Linked DNA regions of Rattus norvegicus. The protein of the gene in region 4 purifies or fractionates together with the protein of the main gene of each other region. This does not show direct contact. Links are inferred from orthologs where the notes say so. Each region holds a gene or a part of one and is shown on either strand. Other genes may lie near its edges.

What was found.
Region 1: the proteins of Grb2 (region 4) and Snx18 purify together in Homo sapiens (co-immunoprecipitation; 4 studies listed by BioGRID and IntAct, counting the BioPlex papers as one, with this or other methods). This does not show direct contact. The link is inferred for Rattus norvegicus from reciprocal best matches to the Homo sapiens genes GRB2 and SNX18.
Region 2: the proteins of Grb2 (region 4) and Elmo2 purify together in Homo sapiens (co-immunoprecipitation; 4 studies listed by BioGRID and IntAct, counting the BioPlex papers as one, with this or other methods). This does not show direct contact. The link is inferred for Rattus norvegicus from reciprocal best matches to the Homo sapiens genes GRB2 and ELMO2.
Region 3: the proteins of Grb2 (region 4) and Dock5 purify together in Homo sapiens (co-immunoprecipitation; 4 studies listed by BioGRID and IntAct, counting the BioPlex papers as one, with this or other methods). This does not show direct contact. The link is inferred for Rattus norvegicus from reciprocal best matches to the Homo sapiens genes GRB2 and DOCK5.
Region 5: the proteins of Grb2 (region 4) and Dnm3 purify together in Homo sapiens (affinity purification with mass spectrometry; 5 studies listed by BioGRID and IntAct, counting the BioPlex papers as one, with this or other methods). This does not show direct contact. The link is inferred for Rattus norvegicus from reciprocal best matches to the Homo sapiens genes GRB2 and DNM3.
Region 6: the proteins of Grb2 (region 4) and Lrrk1 purify together in Homo sapiens (affinity purification with mass spectrometry; 4 studies listed by BioGRID and IntAct, with this or other methods). This does not show direct contact. The link is inferred for Rattus norvegicus from reciprocal best matches to the Homo sapiens genes GRB2 and LRRK1.
Region 7: the proteins of Grb2 (region 4) and Ptpre purify together in Homo sapiens (affinity purification with mass spectrometry; 5 studies listed by BioGRID and IntAct, with this or other methods). This does not show direct contact. The link is inferred for Rattus norvegicus from reciprocal best matches to the Homo sapiens genes GRB2 and PTPRE.

What each region holds. Positions count from the first base shown.
Region 1 is NC_086020.1:46,988,717-46,992,803, reverse strand, and holds the start of Snx18 (sorting nexin-18), read left to right. Parts: upstream 1-1,287; 5' UTR 1,288-1,453; coding exon 1,454-3,047; intron 3,048-4,087.
Region 2 is NC_086021.1:174,466,960-174,470,459, reverse strand, and holds part of Elmo2 (engulfment and cell motility protein 2), read left to right. Parts: intron 1-330; coding exon 331-403; intron 404-1,043; coding exon 1,044-1,094; intron 1,095-3,500. UniProt on the Homo sapiens protein: Involved in cytoskeletal rearrangements required for phagocytosis of apoptotic cells and cell motility. Acts in association with DOCK1 and CRK. Was initially proposed to be required in complex with DOCK1 to activate Rac Rho small GTPases.
Region 3 is NC_086033.1:46,222,543-46,226,042, forward strand, and holds part of Dock5 (dedicator of cytokinesis protein 5), read right to left. Parts: intron 2,161-3,500; coding exon 2,036-2,160; intron 851-2,035; coding exon 752-850; intron 1-751. UniProt on the Homo sapiens protein: Guanine nucleotide exchange factor (GEF) for Rho and Rac. GEF proteins activate small GTPases by exchanging bound GDP for free GTP. Along with DOCK1, mediates CRK/CRKL regulation of epithelial and endothelial cell spreading and migration on type IV collagen.
Region 4 is NC_086028.1:101,445,339-101,449,547, reverse strand, and holds the start of Grb2 (growth factor receptor-bound protein 2), read left to right. Parts: upstream 1-1,409; 5' UTR 1,410-1,470; intron 1,471-4,209. UniProt on the Homo sapiens protein: Non-enzymatic adapter protein that plays a pivotal role in precisely regulated signaling cascades from cell surface receptors to cellular responses, including signaling transduction and gene expression.
Region 5 is NC_086031.1:77,368,547-77,372,728, forward strand, and holds the start of Dnm3 (dynamin-3), read right to left. Parts: upstream 2,801-4,182; 5' UTR 2,673-2,800; coding exon 2,512-2,672; intron 1-2,511. UniProt on the Homo sapiens protein: Microtubule-associated force-producing protein involved in producing microtubule bundles and able to bind and hydrolyze GTP. Most probably involved in vesicular trafficking processes, in particular endocytosis.
Region 6 is NC_086019.1:129,261,131-129,264,630, forward strand, and holds part of Lrrk1 (leucine-rich repeat serine/threonine-protein kinase 1), read right to left. Parts: exon of another isoform or gene 1,873-3,500; coding exon 1,755-1,872; exon of another isoform or gene 1,730-1,754; intron 814-1,729; coding exon 697-813; intron 1-696.
Region 7 is NC_086019.1:199,917,198-199,919,967, forward strand, and holds part of Ptpre (receptor-type tyrosine-protein phosphatase epsilon precursor), read left to right. Parts: coding exon 1-121; exon of another isoform or gene 122-123; intron 124-1,921; coding exon 1,922-1,996; 3' UTR 1,997-2,770. UniProt on the Homo sapiens protein: Isoform 1 plays a critical role in signaling transduction pathways and phosphoprotein network topology in red blood cells. May play a role in osteoclast formation and function.

The DNA.
Region 1 (4,087 bases), on a different chromosome or scaffold from region 4:
GTACCTTGGTTAGTGGCTTTGAACAGGATGCTTTGATAACCACAGTGCTTAGGATAGTGCAATGAAATATTCTTCTGGTCTGATTGCCAGATTGTCATAGAAGGGGTCAGAGAGCAGGATGAAATTGATGACACGTGACCATAGAACTGCAGTTAGAGGTATCTTCAAAGGATTAGGCTAGACTCAGTAAGGAGAGCACGGGAAAACAAGCATTGGGCAAATTACATATTGAAGGAAAATATACGGAAACAAGGCAAGCCCAGGATGCTGGTGTTGGTTAAACTCTCAGTTTTGATCTACTTAACACAAATTTATTGAAATAGTGAGGCCTCCTCAATGACCGAGGAGAAGTGTAAAGTTGTGAGCATGGGGGCTGTCCCTGTGGTGTACCACACCTATAACTGCAGTTCTAAGGACCCTTGTTTCTCTTTAGGAGAGAGGCCAGAGATTGTGTCTCCCCAAGTAACAGCAATGGCAAACAACTGAACGGTGCTTACTCAGTACAGTAGCGTTTTACTTCCTTCGCCTGTAAGATAAGAATGACATTATCACAGAATCCACAAACTTTGGGATGGAAGGACAGTGCAAATGACTCGCTCAAGGACATACAGCCTATCAGTGCCAGAACACAGCCTGGCTCCCTGAAACTGGAGCTCTCATTTGTAACTCCTCAGCTCCTTTCTCCCCGCACCACCCTTGCCTCTGGTCAAACAAGGTTCTTCCCGAACTCTAACTTTGTTCCGGTCAGTCTCCACTCCTTGTCAACAAGATCAGAGAGTACAGGAAGGAAAGGAGCCGTACCTTCAGTGACAAGATGGGTATCTTGTGAGTTACTACATATTAACCCTAGCAAAGGCGTACTTATCAGTGCAACAGCTAATCTTCTTTGTGAAAGCCTTTATTACACGTAGGGGTTAAGGTCATTTTAGGAGCATTTACTCTGAGCAGTCAGAGAAGGAACAGCGGGCTATTGTAGATACAAATACACTTTCGTAAAACACAAAAAACAAACAAACAAAAACCCCCACCCCCCATTTTATGACGTAAAGATCTAAACAATTTCAGATAATTTACTTCTGGAAATCCTCCCACCCACCACGTGGTCACTCAAGTTCGCTCCTTTTCCATAGCCGCCACAAGGGGGCAGTTGCGGCCGCACAGTCGGCGCACACACGGCTGCTCGGCCATCCCTTGCTCTTGTCTGGCACGCGGATCTCGGCAATGGATTAGCTCCTCTGGGGACGTGGGAGGCCCGGGCCCCGCCCCCGGCCGGCGGTGGCCCCAAGCTGCAGTCGCTGCGGTGAGCAGAGCGGATCTGCACGGAGGCTACGAGCGGAACGGGGAGCAGACCGTGCGTTGCCCTCAAGGCTCGCTCCCTTCGGCGCTCAGGGGCGCGGGTACTGACCGCGGGGCCCTCGGACCGGCCCGGGCTCGGGGCGCCAGGCTCGAGACCATGGCGCTACGCGCCCGGGCGCTCTACGACTTTAGGTCCGAGAACCCCGGTGAGATCTCCCTGCGGGAGCACGAGGTGTTGAGCTTGTGCAGCGAGCAGGACATCGAGGGCTGGCTTGAAGGGATCAACAGCCGCGGCGACCGCGGCCTCTTCCCGGCTTCGTACGTGCAGGTTATCCGTGCGCCGGAGCCTGGCCCTCCGGCCGACGGCGGCCCAGGAGCTCCGGCCCGCTACGCCAACGTGCCGCCCGGCGGCTTCGAGCCTCTGCCAGCCGCGCCGCCCGCTGCCTTCCAGCCGCTGCTGCAGCCGCAGGCGTCGCCCGGTTCCTTCCAGTCGCCGGGCGCCGGCTTTACCTACGGCGGGGGCGCCCCGCAGCCGTCGCCCCAGCAGCTCTACGGTGCTTACCAGGCCAGCCTAGGCAGCGACGATGACTGGGACGACGAGTGGGACGACAGCTCCACAGTGGCAGACGAGCCAGGCGCGTTGGGCAGCGGTGCGTACCCGGACCTCGACGGTTCGTCCTCAGCGGGCGGCGGCGCGGCCGGCCGCTACCGCTTGTCCACACGCTCGGACCTGTCGCTGGGCTCCCGTGGCGTCTCAGCGCCCCCGCCGCATCAAGCGTCTGGAGCCAAGAGCTCCGCCACGGTGAGCCGCAACCTCAATCGGTTCTCCACCTTCGTCAAGTCGGGCGGGGAGGCGTTCGTGCTGGGAGAGGCGTCAGGCTTCGTGAAGGATGGGGACAAGCTGTGCGTGGTGCTGGGTCCCTACGGCCCCGAGTGGCAGGAGAACCCCTACCCCTTCCAGTGCACCATCGACGATCCCACCAAGCAGACCAAGTTCAAGGGTATGAAGAGCTACATCTCTTACAAGCTGGTGCCCACGCATACCCAGGTGCCCGTGCACAGGCGCTATAAGCACTTCGACTGGCTGTATGCGCGCCTGGCGGAGAAATTCCCGGTCATCTCGGTGCCCCATCTGCCCGAGAAGCAGGCCACCGGGCGCTTCGAGGAGGACTTCATCTCCAAGCGCAGGAAGGGTCTGATCTGGTGGATGAACCACATGGCCAGTCACCCAGTGCTGGCCCAGTGCGACGTCTTCCAGCATTTCCTGACCTGCCCCAGCAGCACTGATGAGAAGGCCTGGAAACAGGGTAAGCGGAAGGCTGAGAAGGATGAGATGGTGGGCGCCAACTTCTTCCTCACTCTGAGCACACCACCTGCGGCCGCCCTGGACCTGCAGGAGGTGGAAAGCAAGATCGATGGCTTCAAATGCTTCACCAAGAAGATGGATGACAGCGCGTTGCAGCTCAACCACACTGCCAACGAGTTTGCGCGCAAGCAGGTGACTGGCTTCAAGAAGGAGTATCAGAAGGTGGGCCAGTCCTTTCGGGGCCTCAGCCAAGCCTTTGAGCTGGATCAGCAGGCCTTCTCCGTGGGTCTGAATCAGGCCATTGCCTTCACCGGAGACGCCTATGATGCCATCGGTGAACTCTTCGCTGAGCAGCCCAGGCAGGACCTGGACCCAGTCATGGACCTGTTAGCACTGTATCAGGGGCACCTGGCCAACTTCCCAGACATCATCCATGTTCAGAAAGGTAAAGCCTGTGGGGCAGGTGGCACGGGGTCAGAAGGTGGTGACTTTAATAGGCGTACCACTCTCTGGTTTCAGGCTCCTGGTCGTTCTCCCTGTCTGGGGACCCTTAGGGTTGTGACTGTTGGGACTTTCCTTACCGAGTTTTCAGTGGGTTGTTGGATTTCCTTCTAGTCAGGGGCTGACACACTCTTCAGAGTGCTAGTTTGTCAGACCGCGTTGTTATTTCAGAGTTTGAATAGGCAGGGAAATCAGCTGCTTTGATCTGTAAGCTCGTGGACTGGGGCAGAATTAGTAGGGGACCCACGCCAGGCTAGGCATCTCTTTGAACGCTGCAGTGCCGGCAGATAGGAGGGACAATAGGAAGAATGGATGGATGACTGGGAATAAAGGTAAGTCAGGCCTTCCCTCAGTCCCTGCTGTGGCAGGGGAGTTGGGCCAGCCCTGTTCACAATGCTGGGGCAGCACCGGAACTTCCTGTGTCAGCTTGCAAACCGGCCTAAAGGCCCAACCTTCAGGATCTCCGACCTCCTTTGGCTGGGTTTGGAGTTTATTAACCAGCTGACATTTGGACTGTTCTTTAGGAAAATGATGTGGGAGACTAGTTGGGGCGAAGTAGGAATGTTGTGTCTGAGAGCGGTGAATTCGCTGTCCCAGTGTTAAGAGTGCTTTTTAGTTTGGTGTGTTACTGGCTTTTGTTAAAGCCCTGACTTTGCAAATGATTTTTTTTTTTTTTTTTTGGTAAACTACAGCAGTCATGCCTGACTGACCTGAGGTTACTCGCTAGCTGGCTTTCTGATATAATGGCTCCATTGACTGAGAGAGAGATGGGAGGTGTTGCAAGAACACGACCTTGCCTCTGGAGGACCAGTGTGGGGGAGGTGGCAGTTACCTACTGTAGCATCCTGGGCTGGTGGAAAGCTGCGTGGATAACCAGATTTGGCCTTGGGAGGGGGTGACCTGCTGCTCTCTTCCTGGCCATGTGGGACAAAGCATTTGTGAGCCACCTGATCTTTGGCTTTTGCTTTCTTGTGTTCAACCGAG
Region 2 (3,500 bases), on a different chromosome or scaffold from region 4:
GGGCTGCGTCACTATCTTACCAAGGAAGGACAGCTGATAAGGTCCCTGTGGCTTCCGAGATCCTCATGTGCTCCTGGGCCTCAGAGTGACCATGAGCCCTGGTGACCATGTCTGTCTCAGGAGGCCTGGGTAGGATGTGAGGCCCATGCCCCTCTGCCCGCACTTCCTTTATTGCTGACCCTCTCAGGGACTCAGCCAAAAGCTTTGGTTGGATTCCACTGCACTCGGAACAGGCTGGCAGGTCCCTGGGTAGTCACTGCAGCGTTTCACTGCTGCTCCGGACGAACCCAGAGGAGAAGCTAGCGGGGTGTTCTGTTTTCTTTCCCACAGGTGGTCACTGCCAAACCCGGAGTACTACACGCTCCGCTATGCAGATGGGCCCCAGCTCTATGTCACCGAGCAGGCGAGTACAGGGTGGCCAAGGGCAGGCCACGCTTTGCTTGCAAGTGACCTGCCAAGGAGGTGGCACAGCCTAGCTTCTTACTGTGCGGGTGGCTCCAACTCCCTGTTTAAAGAGCTGCCCTTTAGGCAGCGTGGAGCACCAGCTGGCTCCATGGTGGCTGAGGTGGCTTTTGCTTCAAGACCCAGAGCTCTTGAGGAAAATCTTAGAATCTCTTTGTAGAAAGCAAGTAGGAGGAGGCCTAGCTGCAGAAGAACCTCAGTGTCCCTCGGTATCCATGGAGAGTGGTCCCCAGATACCAAAGTCTCAGGAGGTACACATGGCACAGTAGCTGCCTGTCACCTAGGCACATCCCCTGCACATTAAATTCCCCTCTAGATGCAGAATGTGCCTCATGCAGTGGGTGGGCCATGTCTGTACCTGCTGTCCAGCACTGCTTAGGGGGCCAGACAAGAACAACAGCCCGTAACGTTCAAAGCAAACCCTGCAAAGCCTGCCGATGGGTTCATTGCTAGCTGATCACCTGCAGATGAGGAGAGTCAATTATGCTGTGAAAATGGCCACCAGTCCTTACTGAATCACCTCCATGTACTATTTTAATATTGTCTTTTTGTCTTGTTCTGTTTTATTCTTTGCCATCCAGACCCGAAGCGACATTAAAAATGGGACAATCTTACAACTGGCCATCTCCCCGGTAGGTATTCCAGTCTTCCTGACACACACGAGTTCTTATGGTGGGAAGGACTCTGCTCTACGGGTTTGAGACTAGAGATTGTGAAGAAACCCCTCTTCCTCACAGCCTGGCTGGCGGCTCATGAGCAAGGGCAGCAGACAGCCTCCTGGTGTGTAGGAAGTCTGAGAGGGGCCACCTCCTCCAGCAGAGCAGTTTCCAGAAAGCTCTCCCAGAGATAGGCACCCTGATCTTAGAGGCTGGGAATAACTGAGAGAAGAAGAAATGTGTTTCCTAGTGTAGAAACCAGAGCTGAGAGGTGTGGCAGGGGAAACCAGTTCTGAAGGCACTGGCATGGCTGCCTATGGGCTCAGACTTTACAAGAAAAAAAAAGGGAATCCCTGAGGAACATTCCCTGTGCATCCTGTGGAGTGTTAGCAAGGCCACATTCAGAGGCAGGTAAGAGAGACTGGTGGGAGAGTGATCTCTCAGATTGGTATGGGTGACGTCCAGCAAAGGCAGTGGGATGGCAGGGTTGACAGACACCAGAAAGACTTGGTGAATGTGTCAGTGCTGGGGGTGGGGGCAGAGGGAAAGTTGGGAATCCCCTCAAAGGTAAGCAAAGGAAGCAGCCGCAGCCTGAAAGGGAGTGAGAAGCAGGAGGCTGGGCAGTAGAGCAGGCCTGAGATCCCAGCATTTGGGAGGCAGAGGCAGGAGGATCATGAATTAAAGTCCTCAGCTGGAGACTGGTCAAAGCTAATGTAAGCTCAAGAGACCACATCTAAAGACAACAGGGGTTGGGTGGAGTGGGGATAGTGGTGAGGAAAGGTGCTAAGCCACTCAGGCAGAGCAGGGTAGAGGAAGGAGAGGCCCGCAGTGCAGTGAGTGCAGAGGGTGGAGTGAGAGCAGGAGTACAGGCCACTGCGGTGCCACAGCCCGGCTTCCCACAGCAAGTGAGAGCCAGCAGTCTTGAGTGAAAGTTAAGGGCACAGTGGAGAAGCTTACGTCTGCTACTGTTTCAGGTAGCAAGAAGAGGACAGGAACATGGGAGATGTGGGATCCAAAAGATGTTTGAAAAACAGGCGAAGCATGTTAATGAGTTTCAAAACTTGTGAAATTGGGCAGGAAGTGGACGGTCCTGGAGTCCTTATGTCCTACTCTCCAGCCTGAGGCCCTTTCTTTCTCCTGCAGTTTTTCATGTGTCGCATGGATGAGCTCAGATGGGAGAGAGGGTGAAGGTGCAGGAAAGGGGTAAGGGTTCAGTGCATCAGGGCAGGGAGGCAGGCCCAAGGCCGACAAAGGGCTCAGTCTCTGTCACAGTTGTAGGAGATTAAGGCCATGTTTTCTTGTTGAGGGAAGGACCCACTTGTCTGGAGAGGAGATGTGTAGAGGAGTGCCAGCCAGCACTTACCTCGAGTTTTGCTAACTCTTCCTGACTGCATCAGTTCAAGCGAGAGGGAGACAAGGAGACTGAGGACTAAGGTTGAGTATAGCCATGCACAGCCACTGGAAAGGCCGCTCTGGAGGGAGATTTACATTTGGGCTGCAAGTTTCTAAGCTCCATACAGACCAGTGCTCACAGATTGTCTCATGGGTGACCTTTCCTTAGGCACACCCTTCCTCCACTGTGGGATTAGGGCGACCTGTGTGTTGCCAGAGGACCATGCAGTTATGGGCCCCTCTTTGTAATAGAGAGGCCAACCCCACTCCCTGCCCTCCAGTCACTTCCTGACAGTAGGCAGACAGGCAGGCCTGGGGCACTCTGCTTCTCCTGCTTCTTTCCTGAGAGAACATTCCATTCAGAGCAGGGCATGATGAAACAGTGAACTGGAGTCTGACTGTGTGGTAGTAAGCTCAGCACGGGAGTGACAGTGGACACTGCTGCAGGCTTTGCTAGGCTGCAGGAGTCAGGTGCCCTGCTGGGGAAGGCCCGTGCAGGGAGGCATCTGTCCTCAGCAGCCATCGTGTCCAGGAAGCTATTCATAATCACGGCCTCCAGCTCCTTTGTCCTTCATGATTGCCCAGCACGATTCTTTTGGGGAAGGGTGATGTAGAACATTGAAAGGTTTGTCAGGGTTATCACACTTTAGAACTAAAAGGGTCCTTCAGGGTCATCAGATTAAATTCTAGGGCAGGACCCTCGGCGTCTGACAGATCTGCTTCTGAGGACTTGCAGTTAGGAGATACCCTTTCTTTATTTTCTTGGTAGGAATTAAAAAGAAAAATCCGTAGAACAAGATAGCTTGGGGTGGGGGAGGTAAGACACTTGTCCCCAAGCCTGATAACCTGAACTTTATCCCCTGGACCTACATGGGGAAAGGAGAGACCTGACTCTATCAGATTAATTAATGCTCTGATCATCACACTTAGGGTATAGCATGCACATGTATGCACACACACAAAATAAATATAATTCTTAAAATAAAATAA
Region 3 (3,500 bases), on a different chromosome or scaffold from region 4:
CACAGACTACAGAGGGATGTGAAAAATAACCGCTACCTAACAGATATTTGGACAATGTTCAGTTTCTGGAATTTTCTGCTTACAACTCATAGGACCCTGCCAATGCTGACAGTAGGCGCTACAGCAGCCCAGACTTCAGATGTGACCTGTTTTAGGTTGACCCCAAGGTGCTCCAAGATTTGAGGTGTCACTTCTCTTCCTAGGGTCTGCTGCCTCTTCAAAAAGAGGTCAGAGTAATACCCGACTGTCCAGTTTCAAGGCCACTGTGAGCCCACAGGGGATTCAGGATCTGAAAGCATTCTGCAATTCATGAAACCCTTCCTTACAGCGAAGAGGCCCAGAACACTTGGACAGGGGCCAACAAGAACAACATGTTGGGAAGCCGATGATGGAGTGCGCACATCTTAGCTTGTCTGCAGCATCTTGGCAGCCCCTGCCTTATTATAGCCACAAGTTTTTCTTGTCCAGTCGCTATACGTTTGTGAATAAGAATACTCTGTCAGAATCTTGGGCTTCATAAAATGGATGCTCTAACGACCTCCTAACTGCTGATTCAGCTTTTGAAAAAAATTAGTTCTTTGAGAATCTCACACGATGCATTTTGATTATATTCCCCATTCCAGTCCATCCCCGGTTTATTTCTTTCTGCAGACAATCTGAAACTTTCAGATATCTGAAGACTGACTTGGGGTTTAAAAAGCGGACAGGAATCTAAACAAGGGTCAATAGCTGAAGGAGTTAGAATTCTCACCTTGACTGTCTCGTACCAACAAGGTTGCTTGACTTGATAATACACCACGGACTTGTACTCTGAGACGCCTTCGTACCCAGCTCCAGGATGAATGGCTTTCTTTGATTGGAAAGACACAATTAGGAGATGATACTAGGTCATCTAGTATATGAAAAACATGGCAACAGAACAAGGTCTCTGAATGTATATCATCCAAAAATTAACCCAAAGTCAGGGGCTTTGATGATGATGAGTTTGAGAAGTCTACCAGCAGCCATCCACACTATACTGCGAGATGACACTGTGGCAGCAGGTGTATGCTGTTCCTAGCCAGCAGTCATGCCACTTAATGTTAACAAATGCCACATGGGTCCCTTCAGCCCCAAGTCCTGCATACCATGAATTTCAGGGTTTTTACTGAATGTGTACAGTTTTCTGCTTTTAAAGAAACATAATGGTTGAATTATGGACAACAAGGACCGAACATTTGGAGAGCATTACTTCAGGACATCTAGAGAGCTTCAGGAGCCAAGACTTTCACTTGTACATCTAGAGCAATTAGATGGAGGTGACAGAGGCTTCTGGTGGCCACCCGGTGCCTCCCAACTCTCTCAAGTCAAAACCAAGATGTCCAGAAAGCTGCCAGAGGCAGAGAAACTCTTCGACTCTGTCTCTGACATCTGCAATTCCAGAGGAAAGAACTCTACTCTGGGTACAAGTTCCCAATGACTAACACTGGAAATCAGCATTGCCATCCTACACCAAGGGTGCCTTTAGTGTCACAGTATTCCTTCAGATAAGTCGGTGTCCATGGGCTCCACTGGCCCAGGTGATGGCAGTGTGCCTGTCAAGGCCTTTGGGACACCTCTGCATGGTGCTCAAGCTGAGATTAGCCATACCACTTGAAAATGTCAAAGGTCCTAAAGTTTAAGTGGCCCATGATATCTCTCTGCACAGAGAAAAATATCAAAATATATCTAAGTAGCTCCCGGAGTAAAAATAGCCACTGAGAATCACGGGTTTATTAGTTTTTATATATTTTTTCCTTAAGAGAAAGTATTGAACATGTTGGTACACGCCTGTCATCCCAACACCCGGAGGCAGAGGGATCACAGGTTTGAGGCAGCCTCAGCTACCTAATGACACCCTTTCTTACAAAACAGAAACTAATAAAAGTAAGAACAAAAACCCAGATAAAGAAGGACCCTCCCCATATGGGGAGAATTGACAATAAGTTGGACCAGCGTTTGGCTGCTACCACAGAGCAGGTGCGACGCGATGAGATTTGTGGGGAGTGCTACATACCTCTAAAAGGTTGCCTTCCTCATCAAACACAGACATGGTCACCTCCACATTCTTGGGTGTCTTCTTCTTCCCCTTATCAAACTCCCCATGGATCAGGGTGACATAAATATCATTTCGAACATCCCCTAAAACACGACAAGCCTACTGTGAGTGCTGCTGAGAGAAACTCACTTCAAAGTTAAAGTTCCATGATTTAACACACAAGGACTAATGTAAATATACAACGGTCTGCTGGTAATGGCCTGCTGATTCCACGTAAGTCTTGACTGCTCTCTCAGTCCACCTCTCACTACACATCAAGGTGTCTCTGATGTGCATGCTTTTGTAAAAAATACCTTTTTTTATAAGTGTGCACACACATACATGTATATGCCACAGCATGAGTTTGTGGGCCAGAGGATAATTTCTCTGGAGTCAGTCTTCCCCTTCCACCTATTATTGAGGCAGTGTCTCCCTTGCTATTTCTACTGCTGTCCGGCATTCACAGGCTTTGAAGAGATTCTCCTGTTTCTGCCTCTGCCTCTCATCTTGCTGTAGGACTGCTGGGATTGCAGCTATGAGCCACCACACCTGGCTTTTTTTTTTAATGTGGGTTCTACAGATCATTCAGGTTGTATGGTAAGAGTTTTTAACCTACTTAGCCACCTCAGAGATCCAATTCTTTGTCCCATTTAGGATACATGTCTAATAATAAGCATACATTAGATATTGCTAGGATATCCAGCAGGTTTTTAATAGTGTCTTTCAGGTTTCTTGTTCATGCAGCTAGCTGGATATGGGCACGGTTCCTGAGGAGACACAACCCAGGAATGCCAGCAGTGTATTCATAGGCAGTTGAACACCGAGAAAGAGATAATTGGTTAAAAGGAAAGAAGAGGGTGATCTATTGGGGGTGTAAGAGAAGGCAGGAGTCTTGATGGATGAAGTGGATGTCTAGATGGCTTAAAGTCTATAGGAGTCTTGTGCTACAGATGGGGACCAAAGATAATTTCCCCCAAAATTTGGTGTGTCTGAAGTTAGTGAAAAGAGCTTTGTGATGGATGAACCTGCTCTTCTGAGAAGACACAGCAGCCCCCCTTTACAGCAACGTTTATTCATCCATTCTGAGTATTCATTAAAACACCCTCATTCTCAGGTAATGGGCGTGTGGAAAACTACTACTGCCCCTTGACTTCCTGAAGGAAAGAAAAGATCCCATTGACTCTCAGAAAAATCTGTTCTAATGTGCTACATGGCAAATTGGTTTTCCAGAGCTTTCCAAATGTGATGTGGTACCAGCTGTCCACAAGTCTCTTTGTCATGGATTAGTTCCTATGAACTGGGCCACCGGGTTGTTCCCCGAGAAGGAAGTCAAGTTGGGGAAAACATCTGCAGAGCAGGATGGGAAAGGGTGAGCTGAGAATGCTGAGGTGCTGAGTGGCGTTTTTTGGGTCCTGCATCCTGAACAGTCCTTGATGGTGCTGTG
Region 4 (4,209 bases):
AGAACGGTTCACTTTCCTTATTCTAGGGGACCCATCTCCTCTATTGTAGCAGAGGTGGGTATTCTCAACTGAAATTCGTTGGCTTCTAGAGAACGCACTAGCATAGGATGTGTTCGTGCTCTCCTGTAATTGGAAAGAGCTTTTGGAACTGAGAGGTACTTCTCCAAGCTTTCCTCTACCGCTCCCCCATAGCCGGCAGCCCCACATAGGAATCTATGTACTTTGCATGGCACAGAACACGACTTTCTCACGCCTCCATCCATCCCTCTGTTCTTCTGTGCTATTCCGTTTGCCGGCTATGGGCTTACCCTGGCTCCTGTGCTGTGCAACTCCTACTCACCCTCAGCACTCGGCGGCACATCACCTTCTTTGTTAAGTCTTTTATGCAGTGGGCAGAGGAACAGAGCCAGCCTTTCTCCATCTTTTTGGCTTCCTCAGCATTCCCCCAAAGTACTATGTGTAAGTGTTATAGTTTGTGTGTGTGTGTGTGTGTGTGTGTGTGTGTGTCTGCACGAGGGTGTGTGCAGGTGAATGCCGGTGCCATCAGAGGCCAGAGGCACTAAATCTCCTGGAGCTGGGGTTACAGACAGTTGTGAACCATGGGATGTGGGTGCTGGGAACTGAAATCAGGTCCTCTGGAAGAGCAGCAAGCGTTTTTGTTTTGTTTTTTTGTTTTTTGTTTTGTTTTTGACCTCTGAGAGGTCTCTCCAGCCCAAGACATTACTTGTTTACTCTTCTGGTGCTTCTCTCGATTGATTGAATCGCTTAAGGGCCAGGATCTCTGCTCGTCGTTTCATCTTCTTTACCCAGCACAGTGTTTACCTACAGTAGGTATGTAGTTCACTCGGTGAACGGACTAATCAAACAGTTCATCAAACACTGCAGGTTGTACGAACCAGATTCCCAAACATTTCTAGATCTGGTCCTCTATTTGGGTCGAACCATCCTGAGATCTGCCGCCCCTCGACCCCTCCTCGAGGCCTCTTTGCTTTGCTTCGATAGAAAGAACGCTATTCGAGTGTGGAAAGCGCTATTCCGCTAGAGCAGAGCTGTAATTCACTTGCTCCGGCACGCAGAGGGTTACAACGGCCCAGGGGCGGAGCCGAGTCCCTGCCACCTGCTGCGGGGCGAGCTGACGCATGCGCGAAGTCCCCCTTAGGCTACCTGCCGGGCGGAGCGGAGGAGGAGCGCTTGCGCTCTGGGCCTTTTCCGCCGGGGAAAGTCTCGCGGGGGCGGGGCGCGGCGGGGCGGGGCCGCGTGGGGAAGTTCTCGCGGGACCCTGGCGAGGAGCGGAAGCTAGGCTGCTCTGCTGCTTCTGCGATCGGGCGGCGGCGGGGCGAGCCAAGCTGCGGCGGGGGACGGCGGTCTGGGCAGCGGGCGCCGCAGTCAGGGAGCAGCAGTGAGGTTGGCGGCCGCGGGCGGCAGCACAAGGCGGGCCAGGCCGGGTGAGGGAGCGGACGGCACGTCGCGGTGAGTGCAGGAGAGCGGGCGGGAAGTGAGCGGGGGCTCCGTCGTCCCCGCGCCGCGCCGGGCAGCTCGGGCCCGGTCTGCTCCGGGCTGCCGGGGCGGGCCGCTCGCGGGTCGGGGAAGGCTCGGACCGGAGCGCAGCGGCTGCGCAGCCGTCTCCTCGTTTCCCCTTTTGGGGCGCTTCCTTCCTGGTGTCGGTCTTCCTCCCGCTCGGGGCAGAGACCGGGCGAGCCGACGATTGAGGTCCGGTGTGGCGGCCGTCCGGCTGGGCGCAGAGGAGCCCGGAGCAGCCGAGAGGCACAGGGTGCTGCTCTGAGTCAGGCTGACTGAGCCCGGGAGGCGGGGGATTCGGTGCCGGCTGCTAACGTGGTGATTGATGCTCCTTTGACCTGCAAGGCAACCACGTCACCGTCTCTTGGCATCTTGCGGTCGAATTGTGTGCGGGAATCCACCATGACTTAGAATGATTGTTACCCGGACCCACCGACTGGTCTTTGCGAGAGTTGGGAGCTTCTTTTGTAGAAGTACTTGAGAAAAAAAAATACTTGTTGTGGGGGGAAAAACAGCAGCAGCTGATGGGAATGCTGGCAGGAAGGATTTTCGCGGAGAGAGCCCCGCTGGTTCATGTCCGTTTGCAACGCTCTAGGTTGTGTGGGTTTGTAAGAAAGTGATTTTTAGGGTGTCTTCAAAAGCTATATAGCAGTGCAGTTTGCCGGGAAGCCGAGGCGCGTTCAACGTCCGTCTTTTGATGGTGTTGACATTCAAAAAGAGGCTAGAGAAATTGGCTTTCTTTTGACTTCTTCGCCTCTCTTTCACTTTGCCCTGCAGTTTTTGTCCTTTCAGTCTCTATTCCACTCCACTAGGGACACGAAGTACATTTTTTTAAAAAATTTATTTATTCTATGTATATGAGTATACTGTAGTTTTCTTCAGACACACCAGATCCCATTACAGATGGTTGTGAGCCATCATGTGGTTGTCGGGATTTGAACTCAGGACTTCTGGAAGAGCAGTCAGTGCTCTTAACCGCTGAGGCATCTTTCCAGCCCCACGAAGTACATTTGTAACGCCAGTCATTGGCGCCTCCACCCCCTTTAGAAAATAATCTACTTCCCCTTCTTGTTCTTCCTCCGCTATAATTTTCGAAGTTTCTGCCGGTTTGAGCACTGTTAATTTTCTCAGTCGTTCTAAGATCCCCTTTTTGGGGGGGGTAGATACCTTCCCTTGTTTGCATTTCTTTTTTTTTTTTTTTTTTTTTTTTGGTTCTTTTTTTCGGAGCTGGGGACCGAACCCAGGGCCTTGCGCTTCCTAGGTAAGGGCTCTACCACTGAGCTAAATCCCCAGCCCCGTTTGCATTTCTTTTAGACTGTCCTCTGTATTCTTCAGCCAGCCAGAAGGGCTACTAAGGAGCCATCGGGGTGCTTGAGGGGGTTTAAGTTCTCCCCCTGGGAACTAGAAAACCCAAAGGACTGAATTCATTGCTAAGTAATCGATAGTGCCATCAGATCACAAGTGGATTTGCCTGTTCGCTTGTGCTATTTGTATTTTGGTGTTTTCTTCACAAGGTATCCTTTTGTGCCTACTATTTTCCTTCTTTCTCTCTCCTGTTTCTCTTCTCTGTTAGTAAGGAAGATTTTGAGCCAGTTTGGAAGCTGAAAGACTCCCCCCCTCCCTTTTTTTTTTTTCGGAGCTGGGGACCGAACCCAGGGCCTTGTGCTTGCTAGGCAAGCGCTCTACCACTGAGCTAAATCCCCAACCCCGAGGTCAACTATTGTTAAATGAGAAATCATCCGTGGAGTTTGTGAAGTAAGATAGCTTGAAATAGAAGAGAACTTTGGATATTTGTGAATTAAGTCCACCTTCCTCTCCTGACTAATGATATAGTCCTAACCAGGCTTTTTAAAATGATTTTTAATTTTGTATGTGCTTGAGTGAGTTTTGCCTGCATGTATGTATGGAAACCGTGTGCATGCCTGGTGCTGTCAGAGGCTAAAGGAGGACAAATACCTTGAACAGGAGTTACAGAGGGTTGTGAGCAGCCATATATATATGTGTGTTAGGAATTGAACCCAGGTCCTCTGGAAGAGGAGTCGGTGTTCTTTAACAGCCTGAGTTGCTATTCTCTCTAGTCCAATAGTTTTAAGCACTACTCACTGGTACTGAGGGTTTTTTCCATGATTTCTGTTATGTCGCATGTATACAGCAGCCCTTATGGAGAATTATGAATTAGGAGACAGCAAGACAGAGCTGCCACTCCCGGACAGGCATTTGGTGTCGTTACCTGCTGACCTCAGAGGCCTACACCTTTGGCCACGGTTATTGAGATTTATTCTTCTGTGTTTGTCAGAGTTGATTTTCCCGAGTTGTGCCAAGTCTAACATACATCATTTTCATTTTGTTCAGACGTAGTGCACTGAAATGCAAATTTTAAAATTTGCTTAGTGCTTCCTCATTTTAGCCTTGATTCTTAAAATTTGTATGTATAGACATAACCTGCCAATTAAGGAAGGGCTGGAGAGATGGCTCAGTGGTTAAGAGCACCGACTGCTCTTACAGAGGTCCTGAGTTCAATTCCCAGTAACCACATGGTGGCTCATGACCATCTGTAATGGGATCTAATGTCCTCCTCTGATGTGTCTGAGGACAGCTACAGTGTACTCATATATAATAAATAAATAAATAAATCTTAAAAAAGAAACCTGCCAATTAAAATTTTTTTATCCAAAAAAATTTTTTTGAGAC
Region 5 (4,182 bases), on a different chromosome or scaffold from region 4:
AACAAACTTGTCACCCGAAAACTGGTTTTACAGTTAGTTAAATAAACACGTTCTCATCCAGATACATCCAATGGTATTTAAAGAAGAAACCATATAGGCAAACTACTTTTGATGGAAAGATGTGGTCAGCTACTAAAGGTGGAGTGTTAAGTGGTAAATAAATCAGTAAGTGAACACAACAGTTTACACAAGTGAAGATCCCAGTGCTCGACTGTACCTGGTCACTATGCCATTGGTCAAGCTTTAACATGAGAGCGGCTATGAGCAGAGGCGAAAGACTGCATTTTAAAGAACTTTATATTGTATAAAGTTCCTGCTCAATAAAAGTTAAAAGATTCCACTGAAACACGAAAAACCTTTTCTTTTTCAACCTAGACTGATTCACTTCTGAAAATGAAGGATTTTTTTCCCTTCCCCAAAGGTTGAGTTATAATTAGAAATTAGATTCCTCAATCATTCAATGACCGAAATCTTTATTGAAGTCAAATGACCTTCTTCTAATTAAGTTTCCTCCGTACTATTTAAGTTGTGCTAGACAGGGCTACTCTGCAGCTAGTAAAGGTTTTATGTGCTTACTAAATGGGTATATTCTTCTTCTATGTCCATTATTTTCTTATCATCCTTACTGGTAAAACTTTATAAAGTAGGAGAAATTGCTAACACATTCTGATTAAGTGCTCCGATTTTTATAGTCCCTATTTTTTCATTATGGAAGAATGCTCAGAATTAAATCCTGTGCCTCTATTTTATTCTCATTACAGAAAAATATACCTAATGAGAGGAAGTGTACACACTTTCACTATACCATTAAGAAGATTGTTCCGATTTGCAAACCTGGAGGCCAGAGCTGCGATTCGTGCATACACTTTACATTGGATTCAAAGGCTCTGAACAAAGTGTGCTCAAATCTGTGCTCATCCAAGTAAATTGTAAGGAAGATGCTTAAAAACATGGCTGTTGCGTTTGAAATATAATTCTAATCCTTAAGAATGAGTAGCATTAAATAACTTCTTGCCTGAGACCAGAGCTCTGAGATGACGTATGCAAAATATTTTGCTATTTCCTTTCCTACCGAGCCAAAATTAATTGTAAAACCAAGGAGACATGATCAAGGGAACTAACTACGCAAGGGTGGCTGCCAATGGCCAGCAATTACACGGTTTTATCTTTCTAGTTCACACCGATGCGAGGAAAATGAAGAGTATCTCCTGAGAGATGGAGCATCCTCTGAGAAAGAGGAAAAACGCACTTTACAATGCTCACACCCAAAATTGTGGGGATGAGCCGATCGGCGGTACAGTTTACACTCTGCCAAGCAATAACAAAAAGAGAGGAGGGGGTGGAGAACCGCAGCGAGAACCCGCCGCATCACAAGCTGCTCACCAACCAAATAAAGAATGAAGTGCTATCTCGGATTGCCCCCTCCAGCCCACCGTTTCCATTGCTGCACCTTCCACCTGGTTTACTACTGGGAAACAGATTCCAGCTTTCATGATGCACTCCTCACTCAAGGCCATTAAGGTAACTTAATCCTTCCTGGATTGCTCACTGAAAAGAAAAACGTTGATTCCAGACTTAAAACAATAACAATTCTTTGTTTTTTTTTTTTTTTCCTTTAAGTGGGAGACATGAAGCTATAACTACAATTTGGATTCTGGATGTTAGCTTGAAGACCTGCTGGATAAATAAGAGCTTAAGGAACGCAAGGGGATGCTGGGGGGAGGGGGCGTAGAGAGAGTGCGAGAAAGATGCTGGTCAGTTCTGAGATGGTGCAGGAATGATGGTGCAGGCACCCGAACATCGCAAGTCCATGGGTCACCCCTGGAGGTCTCAGGTTTCCGGTCATGCCTGAGCAGTAAATGGGTGCACACTCAAACACACCACCGTTTATTCTTCGGCTCCCAGGGCAAATGGTAGGCGAGCTTCCCAGGATAAGCCTTCACCACAGGGATTTCTGGGTTCACACACCCCGCCTCCCCTGCTCAGGGCAGGCGATGACTGTCTCAAACAGTAGACAGCTGAGAAGATCTGAGAGCCAGGGCCAGGGGATGGGGAGGTAGGAGGGACCAAGGAGGAGGGGTACATCCCCACAGCCGAACTGAGAGCCTCCGGGAGAGTGACAGGGAAAGGAAAGGGATGTTGAGCCAGAGAAAGAGAGCTGGGGACTGGAAAGCACCGAGCTGCGCTTCCAGGCTGCCAGGGGCTGGCGCGCACCAAGCCAGCGAGGGAAGTGGATCCCAGGGCGTACCCCGACTCCCCCACCGAGGGTGGGGAGGAAATGGCTTTGTATGGCAGGATGAAAGGCAGACAGGGGGTCACCACCGGGTAGAGAATGCAGGGACGAAGGATGTCCAGAGCAAGAAGGACCCCGCCCGCTCCAGGGACACTTCTGCTCTGCCCCCAATCCGCTGCAGCCTCTAGTCCACCCTCCGGCTGCCCACACCGTTCCAACGGCCTGAAGCACGGGGCTCCCCCACGGACGCGCCCCCACCGCGCTCCTGGTGTGCTCACCTGCCCACGAAGTTCTCGAGCACTGAGCTCTTGCCGGCGCTCTGGCCGCCCACCACGGCGATCTGTGGCAGCTCCAGCAGACAGCTCTGTCCCAGAGCCGAGAAAGCGTCCTGCAGACGGTTCACCAGAGGGATCAGTTCTTCCATCTCCCGGTTCCCCATCTTGCCTGTGCGGCCAACTGCCCCACAGGTCCCTGCGCGACTCAGCGACCTGGCAGGCAGCCCGGGCCTCGCAGCACTTGTCCGGTTTGTTGATGCGCGGGGCTCACACCGCTGAGTCCCGGCACCGTCGTCCGATCCCTGCCACCCGCTGCTAGGCTCCTGACAGCTCACAGCCCACAGCGCGCTTGCGCAGCCGAGAAAGGCGAAGGAGGCGTGGCCTGGGCCTGAGACGGTCACGCCCACACCACGCCCCTCGCCTGCTCCTCCCTAGAGTTTCCAAGCCTACTGGCTTAGGGGGGCGCATATGCACTGCCTCCCAGCTTGGCCAGATGCCACCGCCCAGGCTAAAGGGCAGAGTACTGCACTTGGTCAAGGAATAGCCAAAATCACACCCAACAGGGACTCTGTCCCTTTTGAAGGAGCTACACCACACAGACGAAGCCCAGCGGAAAGCACTACCGTCTACCATCAGTTAACAGCACGTTGACATCAGCTTCACCATGCACCACTGCCATCGTTGTACGCACCAGAATACATTTCCCAAAAGGAAATTTCGCCTTTCACCCTGACTCCAAAACCTCCATTGGAGAACTGGGTTATCTGACCTTTACTAAAATACTCCCATTACTAGCCGGTCCCACTCCTCCTTCTGTAAGCTAAAGTGTAGTTCCTTGAACTTCCTGTAGTCTGCCATACTTATTCTGGCTTTTGGGATTCCTTGCCTGAGCTAGCTGTCCTTTTAGCTCCTGGACAGGACAAAGAGATTGGCAATAACATGCAGTCTGCACTCGATCCGTTAAACTTAGCACAGAGAAGATTCTGCGTTCGGTGATGGAGACACAGAGATAAATGGCCATGCTTCTTCACCTCCTTCCCTCTTTCCTGTGCATTTTGAATACTGACACCTCTCGGGATTTAGTGTACAGTACTTACTGGTCTCGAACATCCTCCATCTGATGATTGTCCAATGGCTCTAAGTAACATAAAGGCTAGAGCCTGCATAGGAAAATAGGTTACATCTCCAGCATCCTGGGGTCTTTCCTGTAACTTAGGCATCACCTTCACACTATTGCCCCTCTAGGACAATAGTGAAGGGACACCCTGCCTCACATTCCCTACATGCATCCCTACATGATGTGGTACATGACCTCATGACTAAGTCAATCTTGCAATTTTCATGCCTGCAAAACCAGTACCACATGAGGTATAGTGCCATGTTTTGCTGCCAGTTTGGAATGGAAACTTTGGACCACTGCTGCAGCAAACCCTCTGTGCACTGACTCTGAGGAAATATTTCTCTAGGCAACTATTTTCCAGGAGCTGGTGGCAAGAAAGTCTATGGCAGAAGTGGGTGGAGGCTGTCCATATTGCATCTGTAGTCAGAAGGCAGAGAGAAACAAATGCTGGTCATCGGCTGCCTTTGTCCTTCCTATGCAGTCAGAAATCCCAACATGTGGAATAGTGGCACCTTAACTAACCTAATCTAAATAATCTCTTAAAGACACACCCA
Region 6 (3,500 bases), on a different chromosome or scaffold from region 4:
TGTGTGTATGGGTGGAAGGCACCCATTGCACCCACAGGCCCCTGTGGCCTTACTAGATCCAGGGAAGGAAGCAGAACTTAGGAGAGCGAGCAGTGCCAGCCAACCCCTCAGAGGAGAGGTCATCGCTCTGCAGCCTGACCTTTCACCAGAAGGGAAGGGGAGGCTCCTGTGTCTACTGTTTGGAGGAGAAGGACCAGGGCCAGTCAAGTGATGGCTTTGTCAGCCCTAGCGAGAAGAGATTCCGTGCTAAGATATGGAGCTGGGGCTGGGGAGAGCACAGGGTGGATGGGGTGAGGAGTGGGTCTGCAGGGCAGTGCTGGGCAAAGCTGGGCAAAGGACTGGGGTCTGGGAAGCAAGTCTTTGAGAGGAGGCAGAGACAGACAAAAGGGAATCAGCTGTGTCCATTAATCAGAAAACACAGTGGCCAGGGCAGGGGAGAGGCTCCCGATACCTTTATCAGGAGAAGGTGCCATTTACAATGGCTTACTTCATCATCTGCACCAGTATGAGCCTCCTCTAAGCCAGTGCTCATGGATGGTAGGCACTCCATGTTAATGGTGGCCACCTTTGTCTCTAAAGCTGGCTGTGACCTGGGCAAGGTGACCCAGAAAGTCCCCAGCTCTATCCACTGTCCCCAGCAAGGAGACCCTCCCGTACTTGGTGACAGACCTGAACATGCCTCTCTCCATACCTTACCTTTTTAATAACAGGTACTGCCAAGAAACAGGTGACAACAGCCGGCGTGTCCAGGGCCTGCTGGGGCATGCTTAATGGGCACATACCCTTAAGGCTGTAGATATAGATTTTCTGGTCCTGCAAGAGCAGACAAAGTCACTCTGAGAACCAGATAAGGAAGTGACTGGCACGGTGTCCTGTTAGGATGCTCTCAGCCTGGGGATCCCCTTTGGTACCTTAAAAAGGCAGGGTTTTGCTTGCTAATCCATTTCTGCTTTTTGTTTGGAAAATACAGTCTGGAAGAAAGTTAACTCATAGAGGATCCTAAGGAGTTGGAGACAGAAGCTTGCTTTTGCCATGCACGAACCAGCCACTAGCAAAGTGGGGCCACAATACAGTGAGAACATGCCACGGGCAGAGCCCTGCACCCCCTCTAGGACGTATATGGGGTCTCCTCTTCTGTCCATCATCTTTAAACATATTTAGTCAATTTGTTGTTGCTACAAAGAATTACATTGGGATAGGCATTCTCAGAGGTCTGTGTGTTCTCCTAAATCAGACTCAGTTCCTGACACTTTAGTTCCATGGGTATCTATGGGTTTTGGGGAGGTCCAAATACTTATAAACAGTCACGAAGAAGGATTATGATGTTCCTTCCCTACTCATAACCCTGGAGCATCTGATTTGGGGCAACATTTGGATTTCTCATAAGACAGCTACTTAGGTCTTCCAATGACTTCCGCGTATGGAGACAGAAGATCCTCAGGGATGAGCTATGCTCCGTGTCCCACACAGTATCATGAGGAAACACGGTGTGGCATGCCATCAACTCACCCAGTTTCTCCTGCTGAGACTCCCTACCTATTCTAACTACCCTGAATCCTAGCTTCCAGCTGGTGGCAAGCAGGAGCCAGCAGCAATTCCCCTGGTGACCTACCTCTCAGGACCGATGACATTGTTTTAGGGATGAGCTCTGTCCAGTTGACCTTGACATCTTGCAGTTTTACAAAGCTGGTACCCCTGGGAACTGTACCCCTCTAATGCTCACCCTGACACGGGCCCTGCAGGCTGGCAGTTACCTCGGTGGCTAGCCACACTGAGCTCTGGACCTTGAGCTGACAGCTCAGCTTCATCCCAGGACAGGTCATCCTCTGTACTTCCAGAAGGCCCTTCTCGGTGTTGACCACCGTGTAATTCCTGTGGTTGGCAACAACATGGGGTCAGTTGCAGAGAGCCAGGGGCACCTCCTTCCCCAGGCCAGTGGGATGGCCTTGGAACAGGTGTAGTCATACAAGTAGGAAGGACCCTTCGTGTCACGGGTTCATGTTTTAAAGACGTGGTTCCCAGATGTAGGCACTATTTTGGGAGGCTCTGGGAACGTTGGGGGGGGGTGGGGCTAGCTGGAGCAGATGGAACACTGGTGGTTATATCAGTGGTTATACCAGGAGCCCAGTCTCCCTCCCCACCTTCTCTGTTTGTCTTTCTCGTTTCCTCTCTCTGCAGCTTGTCTTCCCAGAAGTAAAGGAGAACCATGATGTTCCTCCCAAGTGTGGGGGAGCCAAGATGGCAGGGTCTGGACACAGAGAGTCCAGATCAGTCATCCACCATTGAGTTGTTTCTGTCAGCTCAGTTATTTTGTTGACAGTGACACAAAAGTAACCACATACAAAGGTCTGCTACCCTGCAGCACTCCTGGACTTCATTCATGACATTGGGTACATCTGGGTTTGCCTGCCGTGCAAGGCTTGAACATGGAAGAGAAAGGACATTCCAACCGGAAGGCAGCCTCCTTTCCTTTTGTGACCTCCAAGGGTTCAGGCAACCATCCCATGAAGAGTTAGAGCACCTCCATTGGACTGCTCACTGCCCTCCCACTGACCAGAGCCCGCCCACCACAGGAAGAGAGGCAGCCTCTGCATTGGAGTAGACAGTCCCAGGCTAAAGATAAGAAGTACGAAGTCCACACTTGACTGGGTGGAGCTCATGATGTGCCTCCACCCTGGTCGCTCTGAGAACAGCTCAGTTAGTGAGGAGAGCAGGTTCTTGGCTCACAGGCCTGGATGTGTCCAGCTCCACTGCCCCTCCACACATCCCCAATGAGCGGAGCAGAGTAGGGGAGGGGTTAGTTGGCTAATCACACTCCTGAGAGCACACAGCCCTTTCTCCCAGTCAGAGAGAAAGTGGAGCCTCAGACAGGAGCCATGCTGTAAGCTCTTTTCTGCAGTCATATTTTGAAAGGTGTTCACCACCCCTGACTGACAGCAAACTGCAGATGAAAAAAAAATGGATACAAAACTTGCAAGCAAAACTTTCTCCAAAGTTCTGTCTACTCGTTTTAGTCTTTTCTTCCATGTAATGAAAAAATTTGATACTGAAAATACAGTTGCTTAAGAAAAATAAAAAACATGGCGGAAAGACCAGAGTCTAGCCACAGTGGCGTCGTGTTGCCCTGGTTTCCTGCTTCGTTTCCTTTCTTCTTCCATGGGTCAGTCTGGGAATCTGATCTTCTCTCTCCAGGTTCCTTGCTCTGTGTGCCCAGGTAGAAGCCCCCACTCTCCCTCCTCTGTTTTGGTGGGAGATTTTACGGACCCTCTCTTCCTACTGGGAAAGATCATTTTCCCCCAGGTCCAACTCTCTCCAGCATCGTGCCTATGTCTGAGACGAAGGGAAAAGCAAGCATCCTCAGGAGGGTGGAAGAGGTTGGCTCTGGAGTCCAGGCCCAGTCCTGGAACCAGCCATTGGATGAACCCTGCTTCTTGGTACTTAGAAACCATATCTAGACCCTGCAGTGCCTGTGACATTTGTTTGGTCCTCTCCAATGGAAA
Region 7 (2,770 bases), on a different chromosome or scaffold from region 4:
GACAGGTACATTCATAGCACTCAGTAACATTTTGGAACGAGTGAAAGCCGAGGGACTCCTAGATGTGTTTCAAGCTGTGAAGAGCTTAAGACTTCAGAGACCACACATGGTGCAAACCCTGGTAAGAATCTGATCAGTCTGATGTTCCAGAAGAGTCGAGAATTGTTTCATGTGTTTGATGTTAGTTTCATTAAAAGGAGCGGCAGTGTAAAGGAGGGCTTGGGGGGGTGTCTTGTCCCAGAGTGCCTGACCCAGCTGCAGTCTTTCACAGTAAAGCCCTCCCAGGTCTTAAGGGGAGTCTTCCCAGCAGACTTGAGAGGAGGAGCTCATGCACAAATTGTATTTCCATTTAAAAACACAGTTACAGAGTTCAAAAGCAGCCCTGAAGTTCAAAGCCTGGGTGCTTGTTACTTTCCATGTTTTACTGTAGCCTTTGGTCTGTTTGCCTCTAGAAGGTCTCCTTCAACCTCAGGCCCCTCCAAGGGTCTTGTCTGGGGGTGGGGGGGTCTCTTAACATCCAATTGCTCTACATTTTCTCTTTCATTAGCCAGTGCACACTTCTGGTTAGAGGGAGTCTGCACTGAATTCCAAAACGTTTCATGTAGAAGGGGCAAGTGCAGTCTTACAGGCTGAATCCATCATTTCCCAGAGCCTCCTAATGAGGACCTCTCTCCCTCCTGCTCGTTCTCTACAGGCTCTTGACAGGCGGCTTGACCCATGTGCAAAGACGGGGGTGGGGTGGGGAGCTGTGGCGGTGACAATGGAAAGGCTCCACATGAACCTAAGACATTTAGTCTTGCAAATCCTAATGGCATCTATATTAATATAAAAGCATGTGATTTTCACTGCTTAACAGATATAAATTAGGCAGTGTGAGCTTTATGACTTCTTCGGTGGTAGAACTATGGGAGTTTCTTTTCTCCACTTCAGAAATAGTTTTCATTCAGGTGTGGCAGCACATGCCTATAATCTCAACAGTTGGGAGGTAGAGGCAGGAAGATCAAGAGTTTGAGGTCATCCTAGGCTGTAGTAGGAATTCAGGCTAGGATGAGCAACATGAAACTCTCCTAAAACAACAAACATTTCTCTCACACACATTTCCTGGCCTTAGGAGATAGCTCTATTGATAAAATACTTGCTTTGCAAGCATAAAGACGTGAGTTTCATTCCCACAGACCCACCCCTCCACATGCACACACAGTAACCACCCCTCCTCATGCACACACAGTAACCACCCCTCCTCATGCACACACAGTCACCACCCCTCCACATGCACACACAGTAACCACCCCTCCACATGTACACACAGTAAACACACACAGTAACCACCCCTCAACACGCACACACAGTAATCACCCCTCTACATAACATACACGATAATGGACCCGATAGCTTGAACTTGTGTTCCCATACCTGGGAGGTAGAGACAGGCTTCCTGGGGTTCACGGGCAGCCAACCTAACCTACTTGGCAGTTTCTGAGCCAATTTCTGAGTTTCTGAGAAATGCTGTCTCAGAAAACCAGGCCGATGGTGCCTGAGGAAGAACACCTGAGGTTAACCTTATTAGCCACGTGTAAGCTAACACATTTGTACCAGCACACATGCCAACACACATACACACAAAAGACTTTCCAATGTCAATATGAAAAGCAGAGTTGTTTTCCTAAGGCCATCCGGAAAATACACTAGGGTGAACCTGAAGATTAACGTGTTCCGCATGGAAAGCTCGGTTTAGAGCATGACTCATGCCTAAAAGGCACATGTAAGAGAAACTGATGTGTGTGCGGGAGCCCCAGACTTTGATGCATCAACAGACTGACTGGCAACTGGCCTTCTACTGCATCTTCTGATTATACACATCAAGTATGTGTGAAGCCGCTTCATTTCAATATACTATTAATACTCTCTGTTCTCTTTTCAGGAGCAATATGAATTCTGCTACAAAGTGGTACAAGATTTTATCGATATATTTTCTGATTATGCTAATTTCAAATGAAGATCCCTGCCTTAAAATATTTTTTAATTTAATGGTCAGTATATTTTGTAAAAAAAAATCATGTTAATTTATTTCCTAGTGGATATTAATATCCGTCCTGATTCCTTTGTATATATTTTGTTATGTTCTAAAGGCTACCTGCTGTAAGATTATTAAATCATAAATGTCCTTTTTAAAAATTGGAATAACATGTTAAGGTCAAATGCTATCTGGGAAGACATATATTTCTCCTAATACCAGTCAGTATCTTAGTTCTATTAGATTCATGTCATGTGTCATGTGGTGTCACACATCATGTATCATGTATCCACATGCCATGTGGTGTCACATGTCATGCATCTGTAAATGTAGTTCTTAACATGTCAAATGTGTTTGTGGAAAGACACTAAACCTGAAACCCCTTGTGGAGAAAACGGTTGAAGACTCAGAGTCTGATCACATTTATTCTCCCCATGCAGGGCATCAGGGTGTGGCAGACAGTGGACATGGGGGCTTTGGTAAAGTCCTAGGTCTCAGCCATGTGGTCCACCCTTACATATGAAAGATCAGAGCAGGAACCAAGCACTGCAACGCATAGCTGAAGTACTTGAAGGGGCTGAGGCAGAAGGATTGTGTTCAGGCCAGGCCAGCCCAGGCTACAGTGAGACTCTATCAGAAACAAAAACAAAAACAGAAACATAACAAACAAAAAACCAGAAGATTTTGTAACCCAAATCCAGGTCTCAGATGTATAAGGGTAGATGGTGACTTCCCCGTGAGTTTTAAAAGGCATTT